Xenopus tropicalis: one gene and its partner. The protein of the gene in region 1 purifies or fractionates together with the protein of each later gene. This does not show direct contact. Links are inferred from orthologs where the notes say so. Each region holds a gene or a part of one and is shown on either strand. Other genes may lie near its edges. The genes, in order: mrps27 and noa1.

Region 1 (15,528 bases):
TCAGAAACTGCAATACTAGCGTTAGGCATGCAGTTGTAAACAACCAATCCCTGAAGACAAAAATACAAATCCTGATGCATACGGACTTGTCACTTTACTCATTCAACCAGTTCCAAAATAACCCCTTTCTTTCCGCACTGTCGATTTTGCAGTGCATACACAGGAGCGAAATACCAAAGCATTCAGAAGTACATGCGTTGAACAATTTGCCTTAGAAAGTGACTTGAATGTATAAAGATAACTCGATGCACTTATTTTTAAATGTTTTGACGGCAAGTGTACAAGACAACTGCAGTGTGGGAGATTTTAGCTGGGAAAGTGTGTGCGTGCAAGGAAGGGTTTATCTAATGGGGAACACCATGATGGGAGGTTGTGCCAAGGCTTCGGGAACTTTAATGAGCGGCAATGATTTTTATTGGTCGTGCTTTACTCTTCCTCTTACGCGTGATTCATTGGTTTTACAAAATGTAGGAACAAATGTACAGTTCTTTTTAAAATCGATGTAGGTAGTTTTATGTAAGTTTTCAGGTTTCAAGCAAATACTATTTTTTACATTTTTTTTTTGTTTTAGCCACTCTGTGATGTGTTGATGAATGTCTCTTGCTGAACACGATATTGGCTATAAAGGAATATGAAAGCAAGTTTTTAAGAGCTTGTAGTGAAGTAAATACTAACAATTAGAACACTGGCCAGAATGATTTCATGTTAAATGAATTAAGTGAATCTATGGTTGTACTTTTTATGGAAACCAACCAGGCCCATAACACAGGGACAGAGCAGAAGAGCTTTCTGGTGGTGATCCAGATATAGACTGGGCCCTTAAACCTCTTGTTAAGCCACTGTAATGCAAGCACTGCAGGGTACCAGGAGGGACTGCAGGGCAAAACAGATCATTGATAATCTGGCTGAGGAATAAAACTTTCTGGGCATGTGTAACAGTAAAATTACCATCAATTTAAAGAGCATGGGGTTTAGAACATGACCTATATTTGTGTATTTTTTTTAATTGATGCATTATACTTATTTCTGGAGTTTACACTATTTGAAATATTTTTTTTTTGCACTGAATGTCAATGAATTTTGGTACTATTTTTTTGGACTTGTTCGGTCCATTTAATGCTGTGAATGATGACACTTTAATAATTTATGTGATCCACGTAAATCATTTTGTTTATAAGCAATGATATTTATTGCTTTGGTATTTATATGAAGTTGCAAGCATTATTTTGGGTCAATTGCCACATGTCCCCCCAGGGACTCACTAAGGCTGTTTGGTGTACTTTTTATTAGATCCGTGTCCCCATTTTGGGCTGCAGAAGAACGATTCTGTGCCTTGTTATGTCCGTGCCAGTCCAAAACTTGGATATATCACATGCATAGTGCACTGTGGGCGTGGCTAAAAGTAAACGCATGCATAATGCTCACCGGATCTCTGCATGTGCTCTGCCAAGTTTAGCTGATATTTTACTTTCATTCTTATGTTGTATTTCATTTGAACATTTGTTTTTATTGTACTTGTATATGTGGCATCTATTCATAAACACTAATCCCTCTACTACTCTTCCAATAGCATTGTGGGTATATAATGATGCTGCCGATATATCCGGAGCGCTTGTTTTATCCTCCCCTGCCAACTATGAATTGTGTTTTGTTTACAAATTTCTTTTGGTTTAAATCATTGCAGGAAACATTAAAGGGGGGATATTCTATGATAAAGACTTAAATAGCCTGTAAAGGGCATATTTTCTTGTGTGCACCATTCCTTCTCTGCATGTCTGTACTTTTACACATACAGAAGCTGCCATATTGCTTACATGTCTTATCCATTCTCAATAGACAGGGCTGCTAGCATTGTTCCTATTGGGAATGAGGTTTAAAGGGCAACCTGTATGGTAGAGTTTACAGAGAGGGGATATTTGTTGCTCACACTAAATTAAACACTTGCATGTTAAGGAAAACAATGCAAAATAAGTCATTTTTTGTTGCCTTGAGTAATTAAATAAAAGAGTTTTGCCAATTTATTTTACCATAAAACAATATGATGAAGGAGGACAATTTTACTGAAATTGTTAGCACCATGGATTGAACCTGACAAAGGCAACCATTGCCTCAAGTGTTGGCAAGCTACCAGCCCCAAGATGTTGGGGTGCTGGAAGTTGAAAGTCAACATCAACTGGAGGCCTATGGGGTGTCCACCCCTGTATTAGGCCCTGACAACAAAAAGTACTCTATATAGAATTACTGGGACATTACATTGGGAAATTAGAAGTGATAGCCTTAGCTCTGACTGGTACATCTAGGGCCATGAAGGCTTATGGAATAAAGCATGCTCCAGTCTGATAACCCATAGCAACCAATCAGGTGTTAGCTTCCATAACAGCAGGCCAGTAAGTGCTACCTTCTGATTCATTGCTATGGTGTACTAGAACTGATGGAAACTTTAAGCAAAATAATCTTATAACACAGTGTATGGCATTACCATTTCTTGGGGGGAATGAGCATGATTAGGATAGTATTTCACTTGTTATTTAGTGATCTACATGGCAACGCAACTTGAGCAAGAACAGATCAATAATTATTTTTTTTTTACAAAATGTGCCAACTCAACAAATTTGGTACAGGCGTAAATATATAAAACATTGACTGGGGACCAGTGATAGATCAAATATTAGAACACTCCTGATGTTATGATTCTTTCACTCCCATTTATTTCGGATTTTCTAAAAATATTGACAGTACTGGTAGCGGGTTGGGCATAGATTCCAAATAAAAGCATAGAACTGTGCCCATGGGGGAATATAGCAGTACTGCAGAACTCCTTTATGGATGATACCTGAATTGTAACCCTAGCAGGTCTTCTGAGGTCTCTACATACGGGCGACATCCCCTCATCTTCACAAGCTACTGCAATTATGAGAGGAGTTGGAGACAATCAACAGCTGGAGAACCACAGGCTGTCTATCCGTATATAAGAGATAATGTACCCCCTATTGTAAAGTATAAGGATACAGAAAATGGAACTTGAAAATTCCATGACCATATGAAAGGATGAAGAAGCAGGTCATGGATCTTTAATATTCTCATATATTACAATAGGTGCTACATTATTTTATATAACAGATACATTAAATGTGACACAAATAACATCACTTAGCACTGTTTGTAAAATTATATTTTACAGGTTATTGAAGGCTCTTGTGTATTATACAACATTAAAGTAAAGCAGATTCATACAATGTATTCTAAATACACATAGTCCTAGAGGTTCAGTACATTGGGTACAGGTTGAGCCTAGAACACAAATATAGGCCTCGCAATATTGTCATTGACATTCCAGATTGACTAATTTGATTTCCTTCAGCAGAAAAGATCTAGAATTAAAAAGCTTTCTGTACTGTAGATGTGCTGAGCTTAGGAATAGGAGAAACGAGCAATGTTGCTGAACTACAGTTCCCAACACCACTAAGCTGCCTAGTGATGATGGGACTTGTATTTAATCAATAACTTGAGGGCCATAAATTGGAAATCTGTGCTGAATAGGTTTAAATTTATAATAAATAGACATATAAAAGAAATAATGTTGGCCAATAAACACGGTCATATTCACATCTTAGCACTTGAAAGGCTGTGTTTTCTTCTATTCGAAATACCATCGGCTGCCTTAGGTACATGCCAAATATTACACACATCCGGATCTGTTGAGAAAGCAAAAGGATCAGCCCTTGGAGGAGAAAAATGAATCACGGACTTTCATCTTTTTTTAATCTTACCAGCCAAGTAAAATAATAGAAAAGAAAAAAACAGAATAAACTCATTTCACAGACTCTATGACACATTGATTTCATGGTCTTTGGTCTCTGCAATCTGGATATGACTTTGGACAGAAGGAAATGACAAAACAAAGGAAGGGAAAAGGAATTCCTAAAGCTTCTCTGCACTAATATAGCTTCAGGCTCACAGGAAACGCTACAGAGCCACAAGTAACATTCACTTGAGACTGGGCTGTGTTACTCAAGGAACCAATAGCAGCTAAGAACTATTGCTTTAACACTTATGCATGCAGCCGTCTGCCTTCCACTCGTGGGAGAGACCCAGTCTGGGGCTGGCGGGGAAGCTTCTCACATTCCTCTCTCGTTCTGAATGGTGTTAGTGTCAGTCTGCAGCTGTGTATGGTATTATGTCTTATAATCTCGCATCACCTCTACTCTATCAATTCATATCTAATGTAGACCATTAGTTTCCAGTGAAGTAAATATGTAGTGCTTTTATGATATTTGTGTGCAATACCCCACTTCCACTGAGGATATTTGATGTAAAAGAAACAAACTCAATTCCACAATAAAAGAGAAACAAATGTAGAAATATTTCTGTGTTGTGATATCATTGTGTGCATTTCTTAAAAACAGCAGAATGAATTCATATGCAGGGGGATAAAGGGGTCATTCACCTTTCTATTACCTTTTAGTATGAAGCACACAGTAATATTCTGAGAATTTGCATTATACAGGTACAGGTATGGGACCCGTTATCCAGAATGCTGAAGACCTTGGGTTTTCCAGATGAGATCTTTTTGTAATTTGGATCTCCTTACTAAACAATCATTTAAACATTAACTTAACCTAATAGGATTGTCTTGCCTCCAATAAGGATATTATATATAATAATTAAAATGGAGTTTGGAGATGGTCTTCCCATAATTCAGAGCTTTCTGGATAACAGATCCCATACCTGTATGGGGTCTATTATCTGAAATGCCAGGGAGCTGGGGGGTTTCCAGATAAAGGATCTTCCTGCAATTTCAACACAGGGTACAAAATGTGAACAACTGTATCAGCACCTATGCCAAGTAAATGATTTCCTATGCCTTTTGCAATCTTTTAATTGGGACGCTGATACAGTTTCTCTTTAGTAGTCTCTGCGGGGGTTTCTAGAGGGTATTCTAGCATGTGGTATGCCTCCTTTCTGTCATTTTATACCCATAGCCACAGATTTTTGCATCACAGGTCAGTATATGAACTAGGCTTGGTGGTGATCTATAGCTAACATTTCTAGTTACCCAGTGAGTAGGTCCACAGGAAAAGGGGATTGGGGCAACCTCTCCCTTTGAGGAGGAGTCAGATTTTAATGGACAGTTAGGACAAATACATTGGTGTATGCTGTACTTGCCTAAATAATGTATTAGAGCTAATTAGGGCTCATTTATAAACACTGGACAAATTTGCACCTGGGCTGTAATCCCATAGCAACCAATCAGTGATTAGCTTTTTTTCAGCCAGCTGCCAGTAGCAAACCTCTGGTTGGTTGCCATAGGATACTGCCCACATGCAAATTTACCTAGCCTTTATAAATGACCCCTAGAACAAAGCTGAAAGTAGAGAAAGAGATTGCAGAGAATGGAAGAGTGGAGGGTAAGTAGATTTCAGAAACAGTACAAAAGGTTTGATTATATTTAGAAAGATTCTTATCTCCATTAGATGAAGCCTATATTATTTTTCCATCAAAGTTCTCCTTTCAACATATTACAGTTTAATCACTTTCAGCCTTTTCTCATACACTTTAATTGAACATCTGAAGGTTTTAAGGTAAAGACACACTGGGCTACCAGTAGCAGCTACTTTTTACATCTACTAAACACCAGAAAATCCCCTGCCATAGACAATACTGACAATCGCCTCTCCTAAAACACACGTAGAGACAATTATCAGCAAATTATCAGCTTTGTCTATTTCAGTAGCCCTGACAAGTAGCTGCTACTAGTAGCCCTGTGTGTTGTCAACAATGGGAACATTTGCATAATTGCGGTAACCCAACAGATCTAATCAGAACAGAGCTAATCAGTTATTTGTTGCTGTGGATTACTGCCCAGGTGCATTTTTTTTTTTTGATTGTCACAGAATTCTGCTTGCTTGGCAACATCACCAAACGAATGATTATAGAAAGATAGCGGGGGAACCTTTTTCCCCATAAAAAAAAGACCAACCCACCCCTTTAGATGAGAGGAACAGAAGTTTCATTTAAAGCCGTGTAGGTGGTTCTTCACATTGAGGGCAGTGAGGTTGGGGAATGCCCTGCTGGGTGGTGTTGTGATGGCAGATTCTGTTATTGCCTTTCAGAGGGGCCTGGATGAGTTCTTGGACATGCATAATTCTCAAGGCTATTGTGATAATAAAATCTACAATTAGTATAGGTATTGGTATGTATAGATGATATATGCGAGTGTATAGATAGGTTGGTATGAGTGTATGCATATATGTCTGCATTGGGTTCATTAGAAGGGGTAGAACTTGATGGACTTCCATTTCATCTGTTCCATTCACACAAATTAGAAGAGGCTTTCAGCAGGAACAGGAATTTTATTTATGTTGGATCTCTCAGTGAGCTATGGCTATGTAAATACTTGTATGCAATGATCCTGGAAACATCCTGCACTTATACACACACAATAAAGCAATAACAGCTCAGGCGGGAACGGCCATATTGCTCACTAGTGGGAAGGGGTTAATGGAAAGTACAAGTAATTTCTAACCACTTGCCTAATTTTAGATCTATTCATTTTAACATTTGTATGTGCAGTAGTGATTTGAAGTTTATTTAGCCAACATTAAATGAAACAATCTATGTTGTAAATGCTTTAATCCTTTAAAAAAAACGAAGAAAAAAACGGAATTACAATCCATTAGCATTTCAGACAGCACAGATCATTTCCCAGTGGGGACAAGTCATTAATCTCATATAAAACACCAATTTTGTCTTGTAGACCTAGATATTTCAGCTGAATGATCAAATCATACAAAATGTATAAAGATGAAAATGAAAAAAATAATGAAAATACAAATAAATTAGCAGCCAGAGGAAGATATTAAAGGGAAACTACAGATGAATGTATTTAGGCAAGGCACTGCCTCATATTGAACATGAAGGAAACATGTAATATATTTGTACACTATATTATCATGTATTCTCCCTTAAACAGACAGCAAATTATGGGTTTATAGAGTAGATTATTCTGGGTACAGAACACTTCTCTGCATGTTAGCATTTACACTACTGAATGGGAGGTACCATACTGTCTTCCTTGGCTGAGGAATTCTCTATAGACAACCTGCAAATAACCTGTGCAAAGTATCAGATATATACAGAGCCACAGTATCAGCAGTGCTACATGCTGCAATTAGCCAAACACCACCTAACAAGGGCAGCTTGACAAATGTTATGCTCTAAATCTGACAACATTTAATAAGGGTACATTTGTGACCAGACATCTTCTTAGGGCTATTTAAGAAGGATTTTCTCTACATCTCAAAGGAGAACCCAGTTCCCATATAGTATCATACAGCAGTAGCCGAAGTAGCAGCTTGCCTGGCCTCAAATTCTTCTTTTGCCTTTTCTCTCATCTCTTTCTCCCTGGCAGTCAGCTGCACTCGCTCCTCTTGCCATTCTCTGAGTTGCTTTTCATATCTTTCAACATCACTCTTCTCACAGTCTGGAAGAATCTCTTGGACAAGTTTTGTGGTCAGGTTCTGAAGGCCATCAGTTGCAATTTTACTCAGAGAGTCCAGCTTTGCACTCAGCTCCTAATAGAGAGACAAGAAGAAATAAAATGGGCAGAATGTTTTACATTAGTAATAGGCCAAACAATACTACTGTGTACACATGAACATTGCGTACTTCCTTTCATCTGCATTGTGACTTACTGTATCATTAAAGAGATACTGATACCAGAAATCAAACCTTTTTTTACATCTATCATAACATATAATTTTGCAATTTATAAGTATTTGCCCTGTGCTTTTTCATTACCTATCCCCATGTTCCTCTATGAGGGGGCTGCCATATTTGTGCAGCAGTAGGCCATTAGAAGCTATAACTGACAGATTGAGAAAGGACAGTCAGGTTTAGGAACGTCAAGTAACAATTACTTACAAAAGCAGAGCTAATAGTAAAAAAACTATCACCATGCCCTACAGGTAACTTTTAATGTATATCAAGAGTAGTTTTTTAGAGTCAATATCACTAAGAATTCACCTGTCCCTTTTACATCATATGGCCTGTTGTGTAAATAGAACTTCAGATAATAGAGACTTATTTCCTGATGTTGCTGGCCCTTTAATAAGCACTATTTCTTACAGTCAGGTGACTAGAAAACAGGCTACCCTGGGGAGTATGAGAGCCACAATGGGGATACAGATTTAGGCTGAACTGAATGCCCAGAAATGGTACATAAACAAGAACAGCCGCAGATGCCTTTGTGAGCTATTTTTCTGCTCATTACAAACACAGGCGCCAGCTTCTAGATCAACATAAAATATTCAGGGAAACAATCAAAGCAAGCAATAAACCAAACTAACTGACTACACGGACCACCCTACCAGTACCTATATAGGGCAGGTGTGGCATTTATATACAGGGAATTTCAGATTTTTTTTTTTTTTAAATGGAATCCCAACTGTTATTTTTCTGCTGAAAAATGAAACAATGAAGCAAGTAATAAAGCAGTCTCCATTCAGCTAGTCAAGATTCCGAGCACAGAGAATCCAATTAGACTCTACTTTTTACTATTATTAATATTTTATTAGACCTTTTCTATCCTATATATATATATCCTTTTCTAGATAAATGGAAAGAAGTCCTGTTCACAAATAAAGGCATTTATGGGGCAGCAAACATGGATGCTGTCTATGTTTTCAAATATAATAGGGCCCCACAGAGCAGCAGCTGCAGGTAGGAAATATGGTAAGGAAAGACAGCAACAATAAGCATTTTTATCAGTAAACTTCAGTTATTCTAAACCCCAAAAAATGAATTGATGTCAACTTCACTTCTGCAGTTTGCATCCATTTTTTATTTTAGATATTAGCAGTTTTAGACTAATAAAAAGCTTTCAGAGCAACAGTCTTTATGAATATTAGATTGCCATAGACCCAAACTATCTATGGACTTCCTGTATAATCAAGGTGACAGAAAGGTGTTGAGCTTAATGTCTGGTATTGACAATCTAAAATTTGTATTCTAATACTACATTCTACAAATAAAACCACTAAAAATAGAAAACTAATACAAACTGCAAAAGTCCTCACAGAATCATTTTGAGTAATTTACATACATTTTTGTATGGGTTTCAATCCCCTTTAAATACAACTCCCAGCTCCTGAAGAGTGGGAGTACTGTTCTAGTACTGCTTACTGTAAGTAAGATATAGACAACTTGGGCTTGGAAACATGGAGGAAAAAAATGAATTGTTGCCTTGTGTTAAAACACAAAAAGCAAGAGAAAAATGGAATTGCTCACAGTAGCCCTCAATCATCATCATTTATCTATTAAGCACCAGCAAATCTTATTATTTAACAAACAAGGGTTACAGATGAGCCCACAACAGCTTACAATCAAACATGCTAGGAACAGCTGACACAACTACTTTGCCCTGGGAGGTAAAACAGAAACCAATCATTTGTATGTTGCAATCTCACCTGGAATCTATGCAGGTATTCTGGCAGGACGTCTGCCTCTGTCTTCTCTGGATCCTCTGGCTCCATAGGCTCCTCTCCTGATGCTTTAGACTTTTTCTCCAAATGTTGGGCAATTGCAAAGTCTAAGGATTCTTTAAGAATGTCAATCTAAAAAATGAAATAATCTTTATTTCATCCATGAAATATACACATTTGGGATACAATCATTACAAGCGGCTGAACATGCAGATAAGCAATGATAGTTGCTCTCAGAGCTTCCCTACAGTGGCAGCTAAGCCAGGGGTAGCAATAAGCCCTTGACAAAATTATTGAGCCAATCAGTTTGCAGTCACTGGGGCTTATAAAGGGGCTAGTAGATATAACTTACAGAAGACATACATTATGTCAAAATAGTAGGAATGTCCAAACTACACCCTTGTGAAGTCACTGAATCTGAATCTCCCAGTGGTCCAGCTTTTCAAGAGACAGTCCTGAATTATGGACTCCAAAGGCTATGGGACTTGGAATTTGGGCTGAATTTGAGTAAACCTAGGGGTGTTATGGAAACAAATCAAATGTTGGCATATATGAACTTCTGTTGGGTGATGCTTTAAGTTGTTCTTTTCTACCTCCAGATGGGGACTCTATAATTCCTGCATTACTAGACCCCCACCCTCTTTTTCTAACTCCAGCTGTGTAAGCTGTCAAAAAGATCTCTTCACATTTGTGTTAGGGCAGAGCAAATCGGAAACTTTTGTGGGGTGTAGTGCAGGGTGCAAAGTGCAAAAAAATGGGTGGAAACCATCATGGTTTTTTAACTTTGTGCTGAAATGTTTGAAAATATGACCACAGACCCAGAGCGAGGAAAATAATGATATCCCTGCAGATCAGTAATGCTGTGAACAAGACTATTTAACTCCCATCACATCTCTACAGATATAAATTTGATTTCTCCATACTGAAGCTAAATCAAGCAGCAGGACATCCATAACACTAAAACACTAAAAATGGGTTAATGCTGTTATTTTGAATACAGAGAGTTTGAATCTATACAGTTATATAATGCAATTAGAGCAGTAGCTTCAGTACCAAAAATGTTATAGACAAATCTATAAAGTTAATGCACTTCCCTTCCACTGCCATTAACCTAAAGAGTGATAGCAAAGGTCGACCAAAGCGAGATAAAAATACAACAGTCTTTTCTCTTTTATGGCACAAGGTGCAGTGCAATGTGACAAATCTAAAGAGGTTTTGTGCGCTCGTGGGTAAAAGAGATGAAATAAACGGGTAGGGAAGTGGCTATGCCCGAATAAAGCACCTGATTTTTTCCACTTTACTAAACTAGAGACTCCTGGCAGCCGAACACACATGGTTTGGCCATAAATATGAAGTCTTGCAGGCAGGTTCTACTACAACAACCCGGATATCAGTCATTCATTCTGTACTTGCTCAAAAAGGGGAGCTATCACTATTATTAAAACAAAAAGTGCACTTAAGTGCAGTGAATGCGTAATAGCCTTTATTTAATCATTTATTTTAGATATAAATGGTTTATTATTGTGCCTTAACCTAAACTGTGTTATGCTACAAGCCAGAAAAAATGGTTAGGCTGCACAACTCAAAAACAAATCATTAAATAACAATTTTAACAAAAAAAAAAAGGAGAAAAAAAGGAAAAAAAAATAATAAAAACACACTACAGGTCTAGTAACCCTGAACAACCAATAACAACCAAACCGGTTACACTTTCTGACTGCAAGTAATCATGGTTTACTTTTAGGGTTGCCAAGAAAACCACATCCAGTTCACATGGCAATTCTAAATCTCTTCTTCGGGTTTTAGAGATAAAACGATTACCTATTCTTCCTAATCCACTTGCACTTATGTCTCTGTCCCACCTATACCCAAAATATTTACTTCGCTAATCACCACACCCACCAAACCAATCAGATGTTTACATAAGTGTCTGTCCAGGTTTCACAGTTTTGAATTACAGACAAAAAACAGAGTTTACATTTATAGAAATTACTATTTATATAGTGCCAACACATTTATGCAGTGCTGTACAGTGATTAAACATCATTCACAGTCTCAGGCCCAGAAGAGCTTACAATCTAAGGTCCTTATCGCATTTATTCATACTAACTTAACGATTTACCTACCTCTTTACCTGCCTGTTTGTTTTTGGAGTGTGGGTGGAATCTGGAGTATCTGGAGGAAACCCAGACAGACATGAGGAGAACATACAAACTCCTTGCAGATATCGCCCTGAACTCAGACCCCAGCGCTGCAAGGTAGAAGTGCTACTCAATAAGTTCTGCACTGCTATTGGGCCTCCCTGACCTGGCAAACTCCCTCACAAAACTGCCCTGCCCTTTAAGATTATTGCAATGCCCATCAATGTAACAACGGTAAAGTCAATGACATGTCCTTGTTTTTCTTGTCTCCTTTAAACATTGTCTGGGTTTACATACACAGAAAGTTAACAACCATAGAAGCTGCTTTAGGTTACCAGACCTGAGTACATCGCTGTCAGGTTTAAGACAATAATGTAATTAGAGGGTTTCACAAGCAACACCTATGTTATTTCTACAGCCCACTAATAAATATATTATATATATATATATATATATATATATATATATATATATATATAGTGCACTTGATAAAGGGTATTGACCCTAAACATGTTGTGTTACCACTACCCATAATAAATGTGTGTATATATATATATATATATATATATATATATATATATATATATAATACGCAGCTGAATCACCAGTGAGCACCTTAAAGTGGACCTGTCACCCAGACATAAAAAGCTGTATAATAAAAGCCCTTTTCGAATTAAACATGAAACCCAAATTCATTTTTTTATTACCACATCCATATCCATTATAAAGGCAATTAAAAATCCCAGCTGTCAATCATATATTGCCTGTCCCGCCTCTATGCCTTAGGCATAGAGGTGGGGCAGAGAGTTACTTTCACTTTCAATTCAGAACTTCTTAGATGTTGCTTCCCTCCTCACATTCCCCCTCCCTCCTCACCATGTCATTTTGTAACCATTGCATGGACATGGGCATCAGGACCCCCCATACTGGCACAGAAACAAGATATTGGCAGGATGCAATGCCTGCTTTGATAACAGTGCCCACAAAATGGCTCCTGCCTGCTTGCTGCAATTGTGAATTCCAAGGCTGAAGAAAATAAGATTAAAATAATTTATATAGTGTAAGTAAAGTTTATTTTTCTTGACAAACACAATAGAAAACAATTTGGAATAATTTCTTAAGGTGACAGGTCCCCTTTAATCTTCAGTGTCACCAAATTCATCCTGCAAGCTTTAGCTATAGTTTGCTTTATGGCGAAGCCTGTTTAGGGGGTCTGGTGCACAGGCAAATTAAAACATTATCCTATTGATTTTAAAGGATGAGCAATTAAATGTGAACCGAAGAAAACAGCAGATCCCTAATATTTATGCTGGTCCTTCCTTCTAACTCTGTAAATGAGCTATGTAAAGATGTGCAAGTGCCAGTTTGGTTAATAAATGCTCATGTGATTTTCTCAATTAGCAGGAAATGGCTCGGGACAATAAAGCCCTTGCACACGGCTCAGGGTGACATTTAATAACTTTCCTGACAATGTATTACACAGAATTTATATTTCAGCAGTTAATCTAGGCCAAATATAGATTTAATTTGACATGGATATTGGACTGGATTATACTGTTGACAAAATGATATGAATTTTTCTTTACTGAAGCACATTTGCATATTTTTTACTTGAGCACAAAAATGAACTTTGTTTTAAGTTGTGACACGTTAAAATATTAAAAGTTTATTTTCCGTTAGTGCTGCTTTCTGCAGCATTAGAAAAAGATTCACAGTGGAATAATCACATTACAGCACTCATTATAGATTCTCTTAAAGGAACAGTAACTGAAAGTGTATAAAAGTAACTAAAATATAATGTGCTGCTGCCCTGCACTGGTAAAAGTTGTGTGTTTGCTTCAGAAAGGCTACTATAATTTATATAAATAAGCTGCTATGTAGCCATGGGGGCAGCCATTCAAAGGAGAAAAGGCACAGGCACATAGCAGATAACAGATAAAACACTATTGTACTCTACAGAGTTTATCTGTTATCTGCTATGTAACCTGTGCCTTTTCTCCTTTTTCCAGCTTGAATGGCTGCCCCCGTGGCTACACAGCAGCTTATTATATAAATTATAGTAGGGTTACTGTAGCAAACACACCAGTTTTACCAGTGCAGGGCAACAGTGCATTTTATTTTTATTACTTTAAAGATCTTTAATTTTTTGGTGTTACTGTTCCTTTAAGGTTGATGGATTAGATCAGTGCTGTTTAACTTCTCTGGTACCGAGGGCCGGAATTTTTCTGTCCTACATGGTGGAGGAACAATAATGGAAGCCAATTTTGATCACTCCCCTTTTTTAAACTGCACCCACTTCAACCCATGTTATGAAGCTTTTAAAACCATACCCACATTAAGTCTGGTAGCGCAGCAAAATCCCACATTTTCACTGCAGGGATATCACCCTTCATTCATATGTCAAAGAGGTTTATAATATCATATTAAGACATTCCCTTAAATATATATGCCTCCTCTGGGGATAGCACAGCAACCCCCAGCACATAATTACATACCTTAGGGACCCCCTAAAAACTATTTCCAAATGCTAACAAATTCCCAGAACAAACCCTCCCACAAGCAGCATAGGGCAGGCAGCATATGGCACACAGGCAGCATAGGGCAGGCAAAGTATGGCACACACAGGCAGCACAGGGCAGGCAGAGTATGGCACACACAGGCAGCACAGGGCAGGCAGAATATGGCACACACAGGCAGCACAGGGAAGGCAGAGTATGGCCCATAGAGGTAGCATCGGGCAGGCAGAGTATGGCACACACAGGCAGCATCGGGCAGGCAGAGTATGGCACACACAGGTAGCATAGGGCAGGCAGAGTATGGCACACACAGGCAGCATGGGGCAGGCAGAGTATGGCACACACAGGCAGCATAGGGCAGGCAGTGTATGGCACACAGAGGCAGCATAGGGCAGGCAGTACATACAGTGACACAATGCCTGGGACCTGGTTTCTGGGATCTTTCTAAAATTTAAATTACCAAACATTAAACCTGCTAAAAATCATTTCAACATTTAATAAACCCAGTATGATTGGTTTGCCACCAATATGGATTCATGCAGCCAGGGTCCGACTGGGGGGTGCAGGGCCCACCGGGGCTGCTGTCAAAATGGTGAGCAAGTCCTACAACATATTCTAACTGGTATAATTATGACAAAAAAAAAATAAATGTGGGCTCATTTATGTCTACAGACACAGTAGACAATTTGCGCATTTCCCCACAGTGAGTTGGCTCTAAAACCACTTGCATTAAAGGTCCAAAGGTCATTAAAGATTAAAGTTCCAAATACGCTCAGCATTTCCATATAGTTGCACTCAGTGCCCATCAGTCCTTCATGCCTTCTGTTCCAAATTGAGTGTTGCATCTGAAGTTGTGTACTGTGTCGATTTTGAGTGTTAGAAACTGAGTGTTGTTTCAGCAGCAGTGCGCTGTGTCTATTGCCACACAGCACAGTGCGAGCCCTGGCGCTACTGTCACCACCTGACCAGGTGATAGCTCCAGGGTTCCCTCAGCGCTCTTCACCAATAGACAAAGACCACTTGCGCCTAAAGGACGGTGCAGATGTCATCAGATCCAGCAAACACTGATGCCAGACAGAGTGTAAATTATATTAAGTGAAACTACATGTGATTTACAGTGAAGAACATTTGCACAGTTGCATCCATTTTTACAAAAGCAGACACAGTAACACTGGACGTGGCACGAGTCAGATGCAGCGCAGTTGTGTCCAATTCAACATCCACATTGCCCATGCAGTGATGCTTGAATTCTGAGAAAACCTGGTGCATTGTGGGAAAAAATGGCAATTGTGTCTGAATGCACTTTTCCTCACTGCGTCAGTGTAAGTGAATGCACCCTATGATCCGTGTTCTTGTGTGACTGCTGCTATCTTTCATATATAGTTACAT
Region 2 (16,856 bases), about 91 Mb from region 1:
ATTAGCAGTTAGGCAAGTTATATATAGACATTAAGGTTGAACTTGATGGACGTGTGTCTTTTTTTAACCTAACTTAGTAAGCTTACTTTCTGTGCAGTCTCACACAGGAGACTGCACAGAATTCTAGAGAAAGACAGATGCAGGTGGTAATCTGGGTGCAAGTAGGAAAACTGTGTGTAGGCTCTGTTTCATAGTGAGTTACACTGAAATATTAATGTAACATGGAGGCTCTGAGGGCAGAGAGCTGCAGATTGTCTTTCTAGCTGCAAATGTATCTGCTTACTCGGGTTGCCACCTGCCTAGTTTGGCCCAGACAGCCTGGTTTTCAGGAGGGCTCTCCAGGTCAAAACTCCTTGCCTGGTTTTCCAAAGTAGAGAATCAACCATCTCCATGTCATAACCCCACCCCTGACATCACATGTTCCGCCCCATGACATCATAACCACACCCAGGTTTCCGAGAATCAGAAGGTGGCAACCTTACTGCTTACTAACAGTGCCCTTATATATTTATGCAATTAATGTGCTGTACAAGTGATTGTATTGTGTTCCTGAGTGCTAAAATATTAAGTTGTAACCATGTGCTAACTGCTTTCCAGGATGATTATTAGAGTATCATCCCAATGATGGTAGCTGGGGCCTTGGGAGGGTATCGGGAAGCCCTCCTGTTAATTGAGTTAAGTTTGAGTTGAATTAAGTTTGTAGTGGTGGTACCTACCAAGGACCAAACAGCCCAGACCACAGCTAAGTTGATGTGGACTCATGTAATAAGACCATATGGTTGTCCTCAGCAGGTTTTGTCAGATCAAGGCCCGAATTTTGAGTCTCAGCTAATTACTGAACTCTGCGAAAGTCCCGCACTACCCCCTACCACCCCCAAGGTAACGGGATATGTGAGCGTTTCAATCAAACATTGCTGAACCTGTTGAAAACTTTGGGAGAGGAGTATCATGAGAGGTAGCGAGAAGTTTTGCTCAGTGTGGTATGGACCTACAACACAGTGCATGCCACCACAGGGTTTACCCCCTTCTTCTTGCTGTTTGGTAGGCAGGCAGGCTTGGTTGCCACCAGCACCTGAGGCCCCTGTGGGACGCAGCCCAGAGCAGTGGATACGGGTGTTTGCTAAGCGGTTGCAGGAGGCCCACAAAGAGGTACCACGAGTGGACCCAGCACCATTAAAGAAGGGGGATCGTGTGTTGATGCGGAACCCAAAGGCACAGCGAGGTTCTAAGCTGTGGCCAAAATGGTAACCTGATCCGGATGTAGTGATTGCTCAACCACATCAGAATCTATCTGGTGGAGCCAGAGTGGGATCAGGGGAAGTATAAGCGGGTACACCGAGACCAACTCAAATGATGTGTTTTCTACCCTGTACCGGAGAGCAGGACAAGGCTGTTGACACAGGGAATGGAGTCCGAGAAGGCTCAAACTTCATCGCCTGTGGGACCCCCGATTATTTGATGGGCATTACCAACTGAGGTGCAAGTGGGGCCACCAATGCGAGCAAGTTACCCAGAGGGTCAGGGTCAAATGGAGATGTGGAACCTGTATCCACTATGGAGGAGTAGCCCTGCCTTACCTGAAGGTTCAGGGGCACCTGCTTTATGGGAGATGGGTAGCAGAGAGGAGGAACTCCAGGAGCTAGCTCCCCCTGTGGAGCCTGGGGACAGAGTTGAGAAACATGCTGAGGGGCAGTCAGAAGAACAGTATCCAGTACGGGCTAACCCGTACTGCTTAGCCCGTATCTTACATATAGAGATAATTATGTCATTTTTCCCTTCATTATATGACACGGGAATCAGACATGGGGATACAGGACAGACTTGTTCAGTGCTGAGAAACTGAACTACACCCCCACCCCCCAAGCTATAAAAATGGCCTGCATCGACCCCCCTCACCTCTCCCTTATCTCATACTCTGTAACTTAAAAGACTGTCCCTGCTGCAAACCCCAACCCAAAAGAGCAGTTGAAGCTGATTTCCTGATAGCCCCAACTGCGCATGCTCAAGCAGTATCCGCATCGGCGGTGAGACCCAAAGCTTCTACGATTGAATGGAAGATGGAGCCCAGGTACGTTGGTGCGCTGCTCTTCTAGGTTGGGGTTTGCGATAGGGACAGTTTTTAAGAATACAACCCTAGTGTTGCTGGACTATAGCTCCCAAGCATGCCTCTACCTTCATTATATGTTAAATTATTCTGGGATTTGTAGTCCAGCAACAACTGAGTATAGTTTTGTTGAGCAGTGCTGTGCAGCAGGGTTTACATCTCCTTTAAGGTTGAGCTTGATGGACGTGTCTTTTTTCAACCTTTCAACCTGGCCACACGTTACAATCCACTCGTTTGGCAAGGTCACCAAAGGAGCTGATCTTCTCCTAATATGCCCACCTAAGGTAGGCAATATCAGGCTAATTTGGCCCTAGGGCAAACGGCTGACTTCAAACCGAATCAACAAGCTGATGCGGTCCCCAATACGACAGGAAAATCAAACCTGCCTAATGGAGGGGTGCCAATACATGTGCAGGTAAGCTGCCAAATTGGTCTAATGGACCCCGAAATGGCAGCCGAAATCTGCCCATGTATCCGAAATCTGCCTTTTGACAATTTTTCAATTTGCCTTTTCTGTTTTTTTTTCGTTATTTTATTTACCAACAGAAGCTATTTGGTTACAATAGTCTTATTTACCATAGCAACTAGGCAAACTTTTCCAGGTTTATGTTTGGTCATCTTTTATGGTCCTATTATTTATTTATTTATTTATTTATTTTAATCCGGGCAACATGGATATCTCTTTCTTAAAACAGAAGACCCCATATGCACTAAAAAAGGACTTAATTTACTCAGGAGCAAAAACCCATAGCAACCAATAAAATGTTTGCTTTTAAACAGGTAGCCAGTAACTGCTTCCTGCTGATTGATTGCTATGGGTTACTGCTCCTAGGCAAACAATGTGTTTTATTAAAGGAGAACTGTCACCAGTAATAGTGTTCTCTGTCTTTTGATTTCTAGGTGGCAAAGTGTAAAATAAAAAAGAATGAAGGTTTGTTTTTTTAAATAGCTTAAACTACCTCCTCAACCACACTGTTTTCAGTCCTGTACAGCCAGTATCCAAATGTGCATTGTCGGCGACAAGACATCATCAGTATTGACTCCTAGCATGTGCCTCCCTCCTGGCAAAGCCCTCCCTGACAGTCCTTCCGAGTTGCATTCCTCTGAAGGAGGTTGTCAGGCTTTTTTTTTTTTTAATATGCATGCACACTCCTGCAGTGACCTTATTCAGAGAACCTTAACCAACTGTCTGTAAATGGTCATAAAACAATGTCTCATAACTTGTAAATTTAAGCTTACAATTGAACAGGTAAAGGATTAGACCTATTTTTGTTACACTTCCTAGCAGATAGAGACCTCTGGAACTCTATCCCTGAATCCCTCCGTAGGGAACACTCACCCACTCTCTTTAAGATAAAATGCAGATGCTACCTTCCGGAGCACCAAAACATTATTTTGCCTAGTCCTTACCTTCCAATTTGTGCCTGTATGTTACCCAATCACTTAGATTGTAAGCTCCACGGGGCAGGGACTTCCTTCCTACTGTGTCTCATACCACATGGCTCTTATTCCCTGTGTATTTCAACTTATTTATTGTATTTGTTATAAAACTTGTCCTCCTTGTGTGTAATTTTGTAACATTGTACAGCGCTGCCTACCCTTGTGGCACTTAAATAAAGTTACACATACATACATACATATACAGATGGTCACTTCCCTACCCTAATCTCTGCCCCCCTTTGCACAGGCCTAGAGCTGAAGGAAAAACTTCAACTGTTTAAAATGACTGCAACATTGGCAATTAATCATTTTTTAATTTAATTTTATATTAATTTAACATTGTGTCAGTAAGCTGCACAGAAGGGCCACCCCTTGTTTAAAGCAACAGAGGAGAATCTGTCAAGCATTCTGGGGACCTGCGCTCCTACGTATACTGCTGCAGAGCCACAGATGCCCAAAGGAGGACATGAAACAGCTAGCCAGTAACTCAACAGCTGGTAGGTTTTTCTGCCCAGTGATACCTGAACTAATATCTGTCTGCCAGCACAGTTAATCTACGATAGCCAGCCTCCCATGCAGCTTTAAAGGCCTTATACCGTCCAATGTGTTCATTATTCAGAAAAAGCATGTGATAGTAGTCAAGCAGTTATGTTTGTCTATTATGTGTGACTAAGTATTTGCTAAAACATAAAAATAGTTAGATGAAGCAGAGTTCAAACATGGGCTGTTATATGGGATATATTTTTAGTGAGACCCACAATGTTCAGGGGTATAGTTTCCTTGGGTATAGTTGTGTTATTTGGGCCCTTCATTAAATGTTAAGATCAAGGGATCAATATAGCCTTAAAATGTTCTGTACAATTAATAATTTTCCTGTCATATGCTCTGTTCCTTGCATGCAGGTCTGGGAACAGCCTGGCAGCCAGCAGGATGTCGACACCATTAAAGGTAGGAGCAGCATCCACTGTAACAATCGATTGAGCCTAGCCTGACTCCTTCCTATACAGAAGGAAGGCTAGGCTTGATCAATCAATCGACCGTCGCATAGTGGATGCTGCTCCTTCCTTTGGCGTTATTGCCTTACTTCAAATGACCGGAAGCCCAGTTTAATTAGGTATTTTCTAATAAAGCATTCAAAATACTAAGTGGTTTGCAGGATAGGGCAATTATTGGGGCAGGGTAGAATAGATTTTTTTACTTAAAAATTTTTAGTGTTACTTTTCCTTTAATGACAATATAGAAATCTACGTGATGGCAGGGAAAGGGTTCAAACACTCATAGGGAGTTGATCACTAATAGCCCTTTATAGTTAGATAGTGGAATTCAAGTGCTTCGAGTTTTTTAAAAAGTAATACATACACTGTAGTTATCATGTCACCTCTTAAGCGCCTCTTCTCCAGTGTAAACAGAACCTACTTGGCCAGTCTTTCTTCATAACTGAGACTTTCCATACCCTTTACCAGCTTAGTTGCCCTTCTCTGGACCCTCTCTAATTCAATAATGTCCCGTTTGAGCACTGGAGACCAAAACTGAACAGCATATTCTAGATGGGGCCTTACCAGCGCTCTGTAAAGGGGAAGAATAACATCCTTCCCCTGTGAATCTATACCCCTTTTAATACCTCCAAACCTTGTTTGCCCGTGCAGCAGCTGCTGCCTGGCATTGCTTGCTACAGCCAAGTTTATTATCTACAAGGACTCCAAGGTCCTTCTCCATTATGGATTTGCCTAGTGGATAGAATTGACTGGTCTGCAGAGTTTTGTGTAATCTGCAAACACAGATACATTGCTTATAATACCCTCCCCTAAGTCATTTATGAACAAGTTAAACAAAAGTGGACCCAGTACAGAACCCTGAGGTACCCCACTGAGAACCTTACTCCAAGTAGAGAATGTACCATTAACAACCACCCTCTGTACCCAATCCTGTAGCCAGTTTTCTATCCATGTGCAAACGACTTCACTAAGACCAACAGACCTTAGTTTAGAAAGTAGTCGCTTGTGGGGAACAGTATCAAATGCTTTGGCTAAATCCAAATCGATTATATCTACTGCATCCTCACTGTCCAGCTACTTACCCATCTCATCATAAAAAGCAATTAAATTGGTCTGACATGACCTGTCCTTCATAATGCCATTCTCCAATACATAATTTTGTATGTGATTCCTTAACAAGCCTTCAAATAACTTGCCCACCATGGATGTCAAACTTACAGGCCTATAATTGCCAGGCTGAGATCTTACTCCCTTTTTAAATATAGGAATGACATTCGCCTTCTTCAAAACCCTAGGTACCATACCTGATGAAAGAGAGTCTGAGAATATCAGAAACAGAGGCCACTGTAATTCTTTCCCTAGCTCTCTCAGTACCCGAGGGTGTATTCCATCTGGCCCCGGTGCCTTGTTTACATTTATCTTGTGTAACCCTTTAAGCACCATATCCTGTGTCAACCACTGCGTAGTTGGAGCTGAGGCAACAGTGCAGCTATTGGGTGGGACTTGGCACTCTGGCTCCTCTACTGTATACACAGAAGAAAAGAATTGGCACATCTGCCTTTTCTGTATCCACTGTAACCATATTGTTACTATAAATCAATGGGGCCTATCCCTCAACCTACATCTTTTTACTATTAATATACTTAAAAAACCTTTTGGTGTTAGTCTTGGCCTCTGCTGCAATGCGCTCCTCATTTTCTATCTTAGCCTTCCGGATTGCTGTTTTACAACACTTGTTATAGGTTTTATATTCATTAAAGGAGATGTCAACTTTCACTTTAATGTCAGGTCTAATGCCAAGGGCACCTTACCCCCACCTCAAACGCATAACTTTCACTCCCTCAAGCTCTTCCTGCAGCCTGTATCGCTGCATTCTTTTTCTTGCCGTTTCACCTGTCACCCGGCGGGCATTTTGCCGGGTGACGTCATCGAGAGCTCGGTATATGTTCCAAATGCGCATGTGCACATAGCCCCTCCTGCCTGGATTATTTTTTTTTTTAACAAGCTTTATTAAAAACAACAGATAGGTTGCCCTGCCGAACATGCAGGCTCATTAAAATGGATTGATAGTGCGCATGTGCACCAAGCCAGGCAGACAAGGAGATTCTGAAGGGAGGGGGGAGAGGGAGTCACTGAGCTCTACAGTGAGAGAAACATCAAGCGATCGGCTGCAACTTCACTGTTTGCTTTTGAGGGACCCGAGTGGCAGGTATATAAAGAATGCTGTGAGGCTTTTCACTGCTAAAAATTTTTGGTTGGGGGGGTTGACATGTCCTTTAAACACAGCTACTGTCCCCAATGCTACATAGGGTAATTTTTAACACTTCTACTTTTTCTTATTAATGGAAAAATTGAGGATCAGTATAATGATTTAATATAATTTTAAATGACAACCATTTCTGCTCTGTGTTTTTATCAGAAAACATAATGCCCCAATCTATGCTCTGAAGTGCTGCCCTTAAGGAGCTAAAATTTGCTTTTCTAAAATTCAGTGTCTTTGTTGCCCCAGTGTAAATTTGTTTCCTGCACCAAACATCAAATGAAATAACATTATGGTCACTATTACCCAGGGGTTCAACCACTTGCACATTTGTTAAACGTTCTGGGTCATTAGAGATCACTAGATCCTATATAGTATGGTTCCTGGTTGGCTCCTCAACAACCTGTGACATAAAGTTGTCATGCAAGAAGTATCTAAACTTGTTCCCATTTACTGTCCTGGCAGTACTATTGCTCCAATCAATATCAGGATAATTAAAATCCCCCATTCTTATCACTTGCCCCAAACTAACAGCCTTTTCTATTTGCAACAGGAGCTGAGCCTCCTTCTCTTCGCTTACATTAGGGGGTCTATAGCATACCCCTACCATTAATTTGGTAGATTCTTTTCTATCTGTGAGAAGCTCAACCCATAAGGATTCAGCTCCCTCTGTTACCCCAATCACTTCCTCCTTAATATTTGCTTTTAATTCTTGCTTAACAAACAGACACACTCCTCCTCCTTTTCTATTGCCCCTGTCCCTCCGAAACAACGTGTAACCCCCAATGACATAAAGAAAGCAGTTTGAATATCCAGCAATGTTTCTAAATATTGGATATCCAGCAATATACAGCAGGCTATAAAAGTGATGATATGTGATTCCTTTAAAATCTAAATCAATCTACAGATACAGCGGCAATTTAAATATATGGACAACTTTACTTAAACACCATAGTGATAAACCTCCTTCTTTGTCATAACCCTATAGTCTCAGTTCATGGTCTAAATCTAAGCCTATTTCAAATTTTGGACAAGACAGGGAGGCTTTTTAGTTGCGTAGGCTGGCCCCTTTCTAAGCCTCTCTCCTTTAATGTTAACAACTAGCGGCAAAAGTGGAGGCTGACGAATTGTTAATGATGTTCCTTTTGGGGTAAAGCACCTCAAATGAAGTTGTTCTCCTGAGTGAGCTGTAACCGCAATCCAGCCTAAAAAAGAAAAGGAGATCACGTGATCATGTATTTTGAATATTTCATACCCTTGAAAAAATAAACACAGCATGTATAAGCAAGTGATAATAGCATTATAGGCAGTAAGACTGACATTTTCAGTCTCAGAAGCCCTAAGTCCTTTCAATTAAATTTTAAATAATTATTTTTAAAAATATGCTGTTTTCTAGAAGAAATTATTTAAAAGCCTGTTTTAATAAAACAGCTCCTGTAACAATCAGTTACACAGTGCCGAGAGTGCAATAGCACTTGAAAATCTTTATTTCGACTCCTGGCAACAACACCCCTGATCAGAAGGCCTATTACATAGGATGCATTCTATCTGAAGATGATCAGTGTATTGTGCTGGGCTCTAGAGACCAGTGTATGCTTTTACAGCAGCTACAGACTACCTAATCCAGTACCAGTAGCCAGTACCATATATCTATCAGATCACTTGTAATAATCAATTTCACATTGCAAAACGTAGCACAGGACAGTTTTGATATGCATCAGGCAAATGTGAAACTTGTGTTAACAGAAAATGTGCTGTGCAAAATATTTCTTTAGGACACACCCTCAAAGGACAAAGTGTAGGGAATGTAGGGGGTGTAGGGCCTCTGGTACTTATCCCAGAACTGCTCTTGCCATGGATGAACTTCACATCGATGGTGATGGAGCAGCTGTTTTGGGGGAGAGGATGGCTAAAAGGTTGAAGGAGATTTTTAACCAGTCATTGGTGTTAAGGAGAAGTAAGAAACTCTTTGAAAGTGGTTCTGGGCATAGCAGGAAAAAAATATGGTAAACATGTTAAGTAGATCATATATGGCAGGAAGAACTATATGTTGCATATACAAAATTAAAAAAAATTTTTATACAGATACATATGTTTATTCTGTTTGGATGGTAAAAAGGTAAAAGAGCTGCAGTTGAATTAAAATTTATGATCTGCATTATTAAAGCAAGACAGAATTATTCACACAACTGAGAAATAATATATGTATATTTCTTGTTTCTTAAGGATAGGGGACATTTTAAAAGGGAGAAGCTGTATAAAGAAAGAAGTTGTGGAGAAGAATCACAGCTGAAACCCCTACATTTAAGTTCAGAGGAAGAGGCTCAGCTTTTGATGCAAAAAGAAAGATTAGAAGGCCGGGGCAAGTCTTTTTAATGGGGGATTTTAATCATGTCATATCATATAGATAAAAGTTGGAGCAATAATACTGCTAGCACAGTTAATTTCATAGACTTTGGAAGACCCAAGCAGAATTTATGCTATATTGGATCTTTAACAAAGCAGAATACATTACAAATGTTCAAGTACTGGAACACATGGCAATAGTGACTATTGTCTCATTTCATGTTTGTACCAAAAAGCAAATATACACTAGTCTTTAAAGAAGATTTTAAATTATAGGAAAGCAAATTTAGCACTATTAAAACCATTACTTTAACTGGCAGACTGGGACGGGATATTAAATCATTAAGTTAATAAGAATGAAAAAGAAAGGATTTAAAAATTCAAGTCAGTGGGGAGAGATGCTTTGTTAGGACCTATAAATATGCAGGCTCATTTATAAAAATAGCAAATTTTCAAGAATCTAAGTCAATAACCTGCAGTAGAAAGCTTGATATCAGCAACAGCTCTAGAGGCACCAATTCCTTTTAGTTTAATATCTTGTGGAAGAAGGGGGGGAAACTCTTTCATTCTCTCCTCTCCTCCAATTGGAACCTAGTAAAAGAAAAGTAAGGTTAAAGTCAAGAAATGTTATTAATTTATGGATAGCATTGCCAGATGAAAATCCACACTCAGTTTTTTACATATACTTGATTTTTCTAGAAAATATTCAGTAAAGAAAAAGGCATGGGTTATTCTGTGCAAAGCATCTCATCTACCCGCCAATTTCATAATTTACACAGCTATAGCTATTTACACAATGCTTTTAAATACCATGACATCATTAACACACAAAAGTTGCAGAATGTTATACAATGGCCCTTTCATTAATCTGAAAAGGAAACATTAACTGTGTTAATGGATATCATACTATTTTCCCTTGTTGTAGCCAAAGAGTTCAGGATTGTTTTAGCATAGCCACTTTTTATTTTGTTTTTTTCTTTTCTTTTTTCAACCCTTTAAGTGCCGCAAAACGTAGAATCTACGTTCTATGGATAAAAGTACCCAAGTGCCACAGGTCGTAGATTCTACAATCTGTAGCACTCCTGGGTTTGGGGCGGAGGAGCGGCTTTTAAAGCCGCTCCTTAGCTCCACAGCCCCTAGGCATTGAGCAGAGGTGGGGAATGAGTGGCCCCTGGAGCACGGCCGCCCAGGGGCCCCTAGGCAACAGTAGGCACGTGCAAACTACATGCCTGCTGTTGCCTGCACTTTCTGCTCCCCCTCACCAGTCACTGGATCAGACAGAAAATGGCCTCCTCTGGTTCCTGGGTCCCCTTCTGCCTCCTTCTCCAGATTTTCAGCCTGCTTGTTCCCAGGTTAGTGTCACATATATACACACTTATTACACACACACATTTGTGTTTGGGGGGGGGGGGGTTGGTTTCCCACATTCACAGCACTCACACTTACTTGCACACGGACGCACACAACATGCACAGAACATAATTCGGTTCGATATTCGGCCAAATCTTTACGAAGGGTTCAGACTGATCTGAAAGAGTGGATTCAGTGCATCTCTACTGTACATGCCACATAGTTTGGTAAATCTATGCATATTGGGCATCAAACTGTTTATTAGTCGCGTGGCATTAATATTTAAAATGTTTTATGCCGATATGGTACGAAATGTAGGATATAGAATAGGGTAAAATGCAAGCTTTGAAACAATTTTCAGAAATGACATAAAAATTGCTACATTTAGCATAGCTATGCTGTTTGGTGCTTTGCCATACAAAGACATATTTACCCATTTTACATTCAACAGAATATGTATTTTCTGGGGTCTACCAATTCTACCATTTTTACTACCAAAAAGTACACAGCCTGATTTATATTCCATGAAATATGTATGCCCTAACTTCCTTTTGGGGTCCGTAAATGCCAGATACTTTAGTGATCTTACGTACAATGGGGATCAAACTCTTCAGTAGACCCTTGGCTTTCATATTTACGTTATATTTTCTTGGTACCTAATGTTATGTGGGAGATATAATGCTTGAAAGTGAAAGCTTTGAGGTGATTTTTTAGAATTTTCATAATTTTTTATAGAAACTGCTAAATTCAGAAAAGCAAAATGTGTGTTTTTCAAAAATATATGGTTTCCTGGGGTAAACTTAATGTTCCAGGATTTTTGACTTATTGGAATCTAAAGTACACCGTATTCTGCTGTAATGCTTTGAAAATGTGGTAATTTACGGTCTATAGTAATTTACTATGTCTATGAAGATTCTCATTCATCCAGTTCATGATATACAATATCTAGTAGAAACCCCTCAAGGGTTTAAATGCCAGGGAATTCCCTACCAGTCATTTGAACTGAACTGAAGAAGCCACTTGGATGAGTGGTGAAACTTATCAAGATAAACTCACAAAAGTCCAGTTGTTTTAGACTCTATTCTACTACTTACTTGCTGGGAGTTTTTGATCTATAGAAGTCAGAAATCTCCATAAAACTATACATATCAGGTACTGGCATGTTTGGGAGACATAAGGCTTTGCAAATCAAAAGAATGTGTCCATAAATACCTATATATAAAAAAAATATAAATTTTTCTTTTTTTTGTATTTAGAGCTCTAAATCTTGTTCCAGAAGTGGAAATACACAAAAACCAGATTTAGAAAGCTCAGGTTCTCCTGAAAAAACACAATATATAGCTTTCCTACCTAAACTAACCCCCCCCCCTCCCAGTAAATGCCCCTAAAATAATAGATCACAGAATGTTTACAAAATGTCTCACACTGCGGGGAACTGAAATGTGAAATTCTGCAGTATTTCAACATAGAGAAACAAAAGTTCATCTTACTTTTAAGTAAAGGTTTTAAGCCATTCATCGTGAATTTCCATAAATGCACAATTAAACCCCTTAGAGGGGGAAACAATGTTTTCAATGTTCAAGAGCAACAATATGTAACAAAGTAACAATAATTGGTAAATTGGTAAATTTTGTTGACAGAAGGAATGAAATAAAAAATTCATACAAAATTTTTTATGGACAAAAACAACAAAGTAAGTTAGGTTGAAAAAAGACATACCTCCATAAACTTCAACCTTAATGCCTATATATGACATGCCTAACTGCTAGTTGGTCCAGAGGAAGGCAAAAAAAAAAAAACCCATCCGAAACCTCTCTAATTTTTGCCGCAGAGGGGGAAAAAATTTCTTCCTGACTCCAAGATGGCAATCGGACCAGTCCCTGGATCAACTTGTACTAAGCGCTATCACCCATACCCCTGTATTTCCTCACTTGCTAAAAAGCCATCCAACCCCTTCTTGAAGCTATCTGTGTGTCAGCTTATACAATTGTACAACTGATTCAGGGAGAGAATTCCACAACTTCACAGCTCTCACAGTAAAAAAAAAATCCTTTCCAAATATTTTGACGGAACCTCCATTCTTCTAATCAAAATGGGTGCCCTTGTTAGTTGGAAGAACCTACTGGTAAATAAAGCATTAGAGATATTATTATATGATCCCCTTATATATTTATACATAGTTATTATATCACCCCTTAAGCGCCTCTTCTCCAACAACCCTAACTTGGCCAGTCTTTCTTCATAACTAAGACTTTCCATACCCTTAGATGCCCTTCTCTAGACCCTCTCTAATGCTCTAGATGGGGTCTTAGCAGCGCTCTGCAACCCCTCCTTCTGCGAATCGATGCCCCTTTTAATACAGCTCAAAACATTGGTTTGCCTTTGCAGCTGCTGCCTGGCATTGCTTGCTACATCCAAGTTTATTATCTACAAGAACTCTAAGGTCCTTCTCCATTATGGATTTGCCAAGTGCAGTCCCATTAAGGTTATAAGTGGCTTGCATATTTTTACATCCCAGGTGCATGACCTTTTATCCACATTAAATCTCATCTGCCACATAGCCGCCAAGATTGCAAATTTGTCAAGATCCTAGAGTAAGGATGCCACATCCTGGATGGATCTGATTGGGCTGCAGAGTTTTGTGTCATCTGCAAACACTGATACATTACTTATAATACCCTCCCCTAAGACATTAATGAACTGAAGTTAAACGAAAGTGGACCTAGTACAGAACCCTGGGGAACCCCACTGAAAACCTTACTCCAAGTAGAGAATTGTACCATTAACAACCACCTGATCCTGTAGCCAGTTTTTTACTATTAATGTACACTTGGAAAATGAGGAGTGCATTGCGGCAGAGGCTAAAACTAACCCCAAAAATTCTATCTTTGCCTTTCGGATTGCTGTGTGTTTATATTCATTAAATGCTGCTTTTTTCCCCTGACTTGCATTTCTTAAATGCCGTTCTTTTTTATCCTATTAACTTCTTTACCTCCGAGTTATCCCAAATACCTTGTATGTGGTTTAACTTGGAGCTTATGTGGACTAACAAGTATACAAGAACAATGCAGAATTCAATTAACACAGTCAAAACAATCCCAGCTCCACTAGCCTCTGTACAATAAATGTAATACAGGCACAACAGTGATGTGTAACTGAAATATATAAAATGGGTAAAATTACAGAAATAAAATCCACCCCTTTTGCTCTCATACCCAGAACAGCTATTAACCATAAAATCATAAAACATACACTCTGTGGTTGTCTGTTCTCTTGCTGCAGAGATAATAAAATACCATTAGTATCTAATTACTATATCTACTATTATGCCATTACTATCTGTGGCAGTCTGTGGCAAGTGTGTATATGCCCTTCCAAGAAACGACTTCCATACAAAATTCTTCTGGTATATTGTCTCTCAAAGAGGTAGTTCACCATTAAATAAAATATTAGTATCATGACTTTTTTTTCCCCACTGATCTTTATTTTGTATTTTTGTGTGTGATTTTTGAATTATTAAGCTTTTTGTATAGCAGCTCTCTGATTTAGAATTCTTAGAAGTTAACAATTGCTGGGGTATGAATGAAAGACTGGATACACTGATATACTGATGACATTTTCTTTACTGTCTACAATAATAAAGTTACAAAATATACATAGGAACAGCCTTACACCAAGTAATGTTCCACCAGCATGCTTTGTGTATATGTCATCTGCTTTGTCAAGGCTGGTTATGTGAACCGGAAGCAAGTTGGAAGCAATAACAGAAAACCATGCTGGCCTTTCACCCTGAAAACAGAAAATTCACATTGGCGTGATTATTTTAAATCAGATGCTTTAGTAAATAATGGACATTGAAAAAAATAAATAATCTTTGTACTTAAAATAACCAAGTTTGAATGATGCAATGGGCATGGTGATTTGGATAATTTTAGAGAGACATTTGCTATGAATTCTCTGACATTTATTTGTGAATACTATTTCTAAACATTTAAAATGAATGCATCACCTAAGAGAACCCATCTTAAATTATGGAGTGTCACAGAGTGGCAAAAAGCTGCCATGAGCACCACTGGACTACAGGTAACTGTATGGAAAGCCCTTATTATTTTAAATGAAAAAAGATTCAATGGCATTAATAACAATATTATAAAAGTAAAGGTTAAATACAGTGGGAATAGCATACTACAGTTTTGGGTACAAGACCCGCCTAAGTTGGGAAGGTGGGTAGGGTGGGATAGGGAATTTTGGTTGGGAATGTTATGTTTTTTATCTGTCTATATTATCACTATTCAGGTCTTACAAGTCTATAAGATACTCCTTTGCAAACACAAAATAATGACGGACATCGCTCACAGCGGCACCAATCTAAACCCAATGCAATATGGCTAAAATTTCAGTGACCTCTTGGAATATAAGAGGCCTTAATTCAAAATTTAAAAAGGAGCCTTATGTTTACCTACCTAAAGAGATACCCTCCCTCTATCCTCCTACTCCAGGAGACCAACCTTACGGGCCAAAAAATTCTAGCACTTAAAAAACCCTGGGTGGGATGGCACTATCACTCTACCTACTCCTCCTACTCCAGAGGAGTCTCAGTGCTAATACGCAAAGGGGTGCCATTCGAATTAATCAAGCTACATACAGATTACTATGGTAGATTCATGATTCTTCATGGTCTCCTAGCTCACAAACCCCTAACAATTATTAATATATATTTGCCGCCGCCGTTTGCTATGTCCGTTTTAAATCAAATTGTCTCTAAACTGGCAGAGTTCCCCATAAGTCCATTTATCATCATGGGAGACTTTAATAATTGCATGAATACCTCCCTAGATAGATCCAAACCAGAACCCAATACATCTACTAGACTTGCGGGATGGGCAGACGCTCTTCACCTTTGGAGATGGAAAAACCCCACAGCGAGAATCTACTCCTGTCACTCACTTACTCACAGGTCCCTATCTAGAATTGATCTGGCATTTGCCTCAGCCGACCTATTGCCTATGGTTGACAGTGCTATACCAGAATCAGCGCGTTTTTGAGCAGGGGGACAAGAATAGCAAGATACTAGCCTACCTCTCCAAACCCCAAAACAACTCTACAGCGATCCCCCACATTCGCCAAGATGACGGCACGCTTACCACAGAATCCAAGAACATTGCACAGCAGTTTGCCTCCTACTACAAGAACTTATACACAACCACCTACTCTGCGACACAACTAGCACAGTACCTAGCAAGCATACCCATTCCACAAATAGCCCCACCAGATAAGGCATATTTAGATGCCCCGATCACAAAGCAAGAGGTTGCCGAGGCAATTGCCACCCACCCCTCAAATAAGACACCAGGCCCGGATGGATTACCTTCCAACTGGTATAAGGTACTAGCTGAATACATCCCCTCTAAACTGCTAGAAACTCTACAATATGCCTATGACAATCAAGCCCTACCTGCATCCTTTGCGGAGGCGTTAATAGTGGTCATTCCGAAGCCGGGCAAAGATCCATCCCTCTGTTCCTCATACCGCCCCATCTCCCTAATTAACACAGACACCAAAATTTTGGCCAAAATTCTGGCGACAAGGCTCCAAAGGGTGGTTCCCGACCTGGTCCACCCGGATCAATCAGGCTTTATGCCCGGGAGATCCACTGATATTAATTTAAGAAGGCTCTTTACCAATCTACAAATCCCTCACTTAGAGACCGATACCAGAGTTGTTGCCTCCCTAGACTCAGCCAAAGCCTTTGATTCAATTGAATGGGGATACCTATGGGAGGTCTTGTCCGGCTTCGGCTTTGGCCAAACATTCTTAAAGTGGATCAAGTTACTATACCAGCATCCCACAGCAAGAGTCAGAGTAAATGGGATTACATCTCCCCCATTCTCACTGGAAAGGGGGACTCGCCAAGGCTGTCCGCTCTCACCAATATTATTTGCTCTAGCAATAGAGCCTCTAGCCATACTGATTAGGAACTCACCGGAGATTAGAGGCCTTACATATGGTAATATCCACGAAAAATTATCGCTATATGCAGATGATTTGCTAATATACCTTGCAGATCCCAGAGCTCTCTACTGCAGCAAGTGGACAAATTTGGACACTACTCCAGTCTGCGAATCAACTGGGATAAATCAATCCTTTGCCCTATAGATCCTCTTCAACCACAACCAGTAATACCCAATATACCTTTAAAATGGACCAATCAATTTAAATACTTAGGAGTCTGGATAACTACAGATCCTACTAACTATATACCACTTAACCTAGACCCCTTGCTGTCAGATTTCAAAGCCCGACTGACCCAATGGTCCAAGTTACCACTTACACTCTGGGGCCGCATAAATATAGTAAAAAT

Evidence for each region.
Region 2: the proteins of mrps27 (region 1) and noa1 purify together in Homo sapiens (co-immunoprecipitation; 3 studies listed by BioGRID and IntAct, counting the BioPlex papers as one, with this or other methods). This does not show direct contact. The link is inferred for Xenopus tropicalis from reciprocal best matches to the Homo sapiens genes MRPS27 and NOA1.

What each region holds. Positions count from the first base shown.
Region 1 is NC_030677.2:182,823,106-182,838,633, forward strand, and holds the end of mrps27 (28S ribosomal protein S27, mitochondrial), read right to left. Parts: intron 9,615-15,528; coding exon 9,468-9,614; intron 7,575-9,467; coding exon 7,329-7,574; 3' UTR 6,617-7,328; downstream 1-6,616. UniProt on the Homo sapiens protein: RNA-binding component of the mitochondrial small ribosomal subunit (mt-SSU) that plays a role in mitochondrial protein synthesis. Stimulates mitochondrial mRNA translation of subunit components of the mitochondrial electron transport chain.
Region 2 is NC_030677.2:91,930,736-91,947,591, forward strand, and holds the end of noa1 (nitric oxide-associated protein 1), read right to left. Parts: intron 14,285-16,856; coding exon 14,168-14,284; intron 9,737-14,167; coding exon 9,619-9,736; intron 8,005-9,618; coding exon 7,814-8,004; 3' UTR 7,719-7,813; downstream 1-7,718. UniProt on the Homo sapiens protein: Involved in regulation of mitochondrial protein translation and respiration. Plays a role in mitochondria-mediated cell death. May act as a scaffolding protein or stabilizer of respiratory chain supercomplexes. Binds GTP.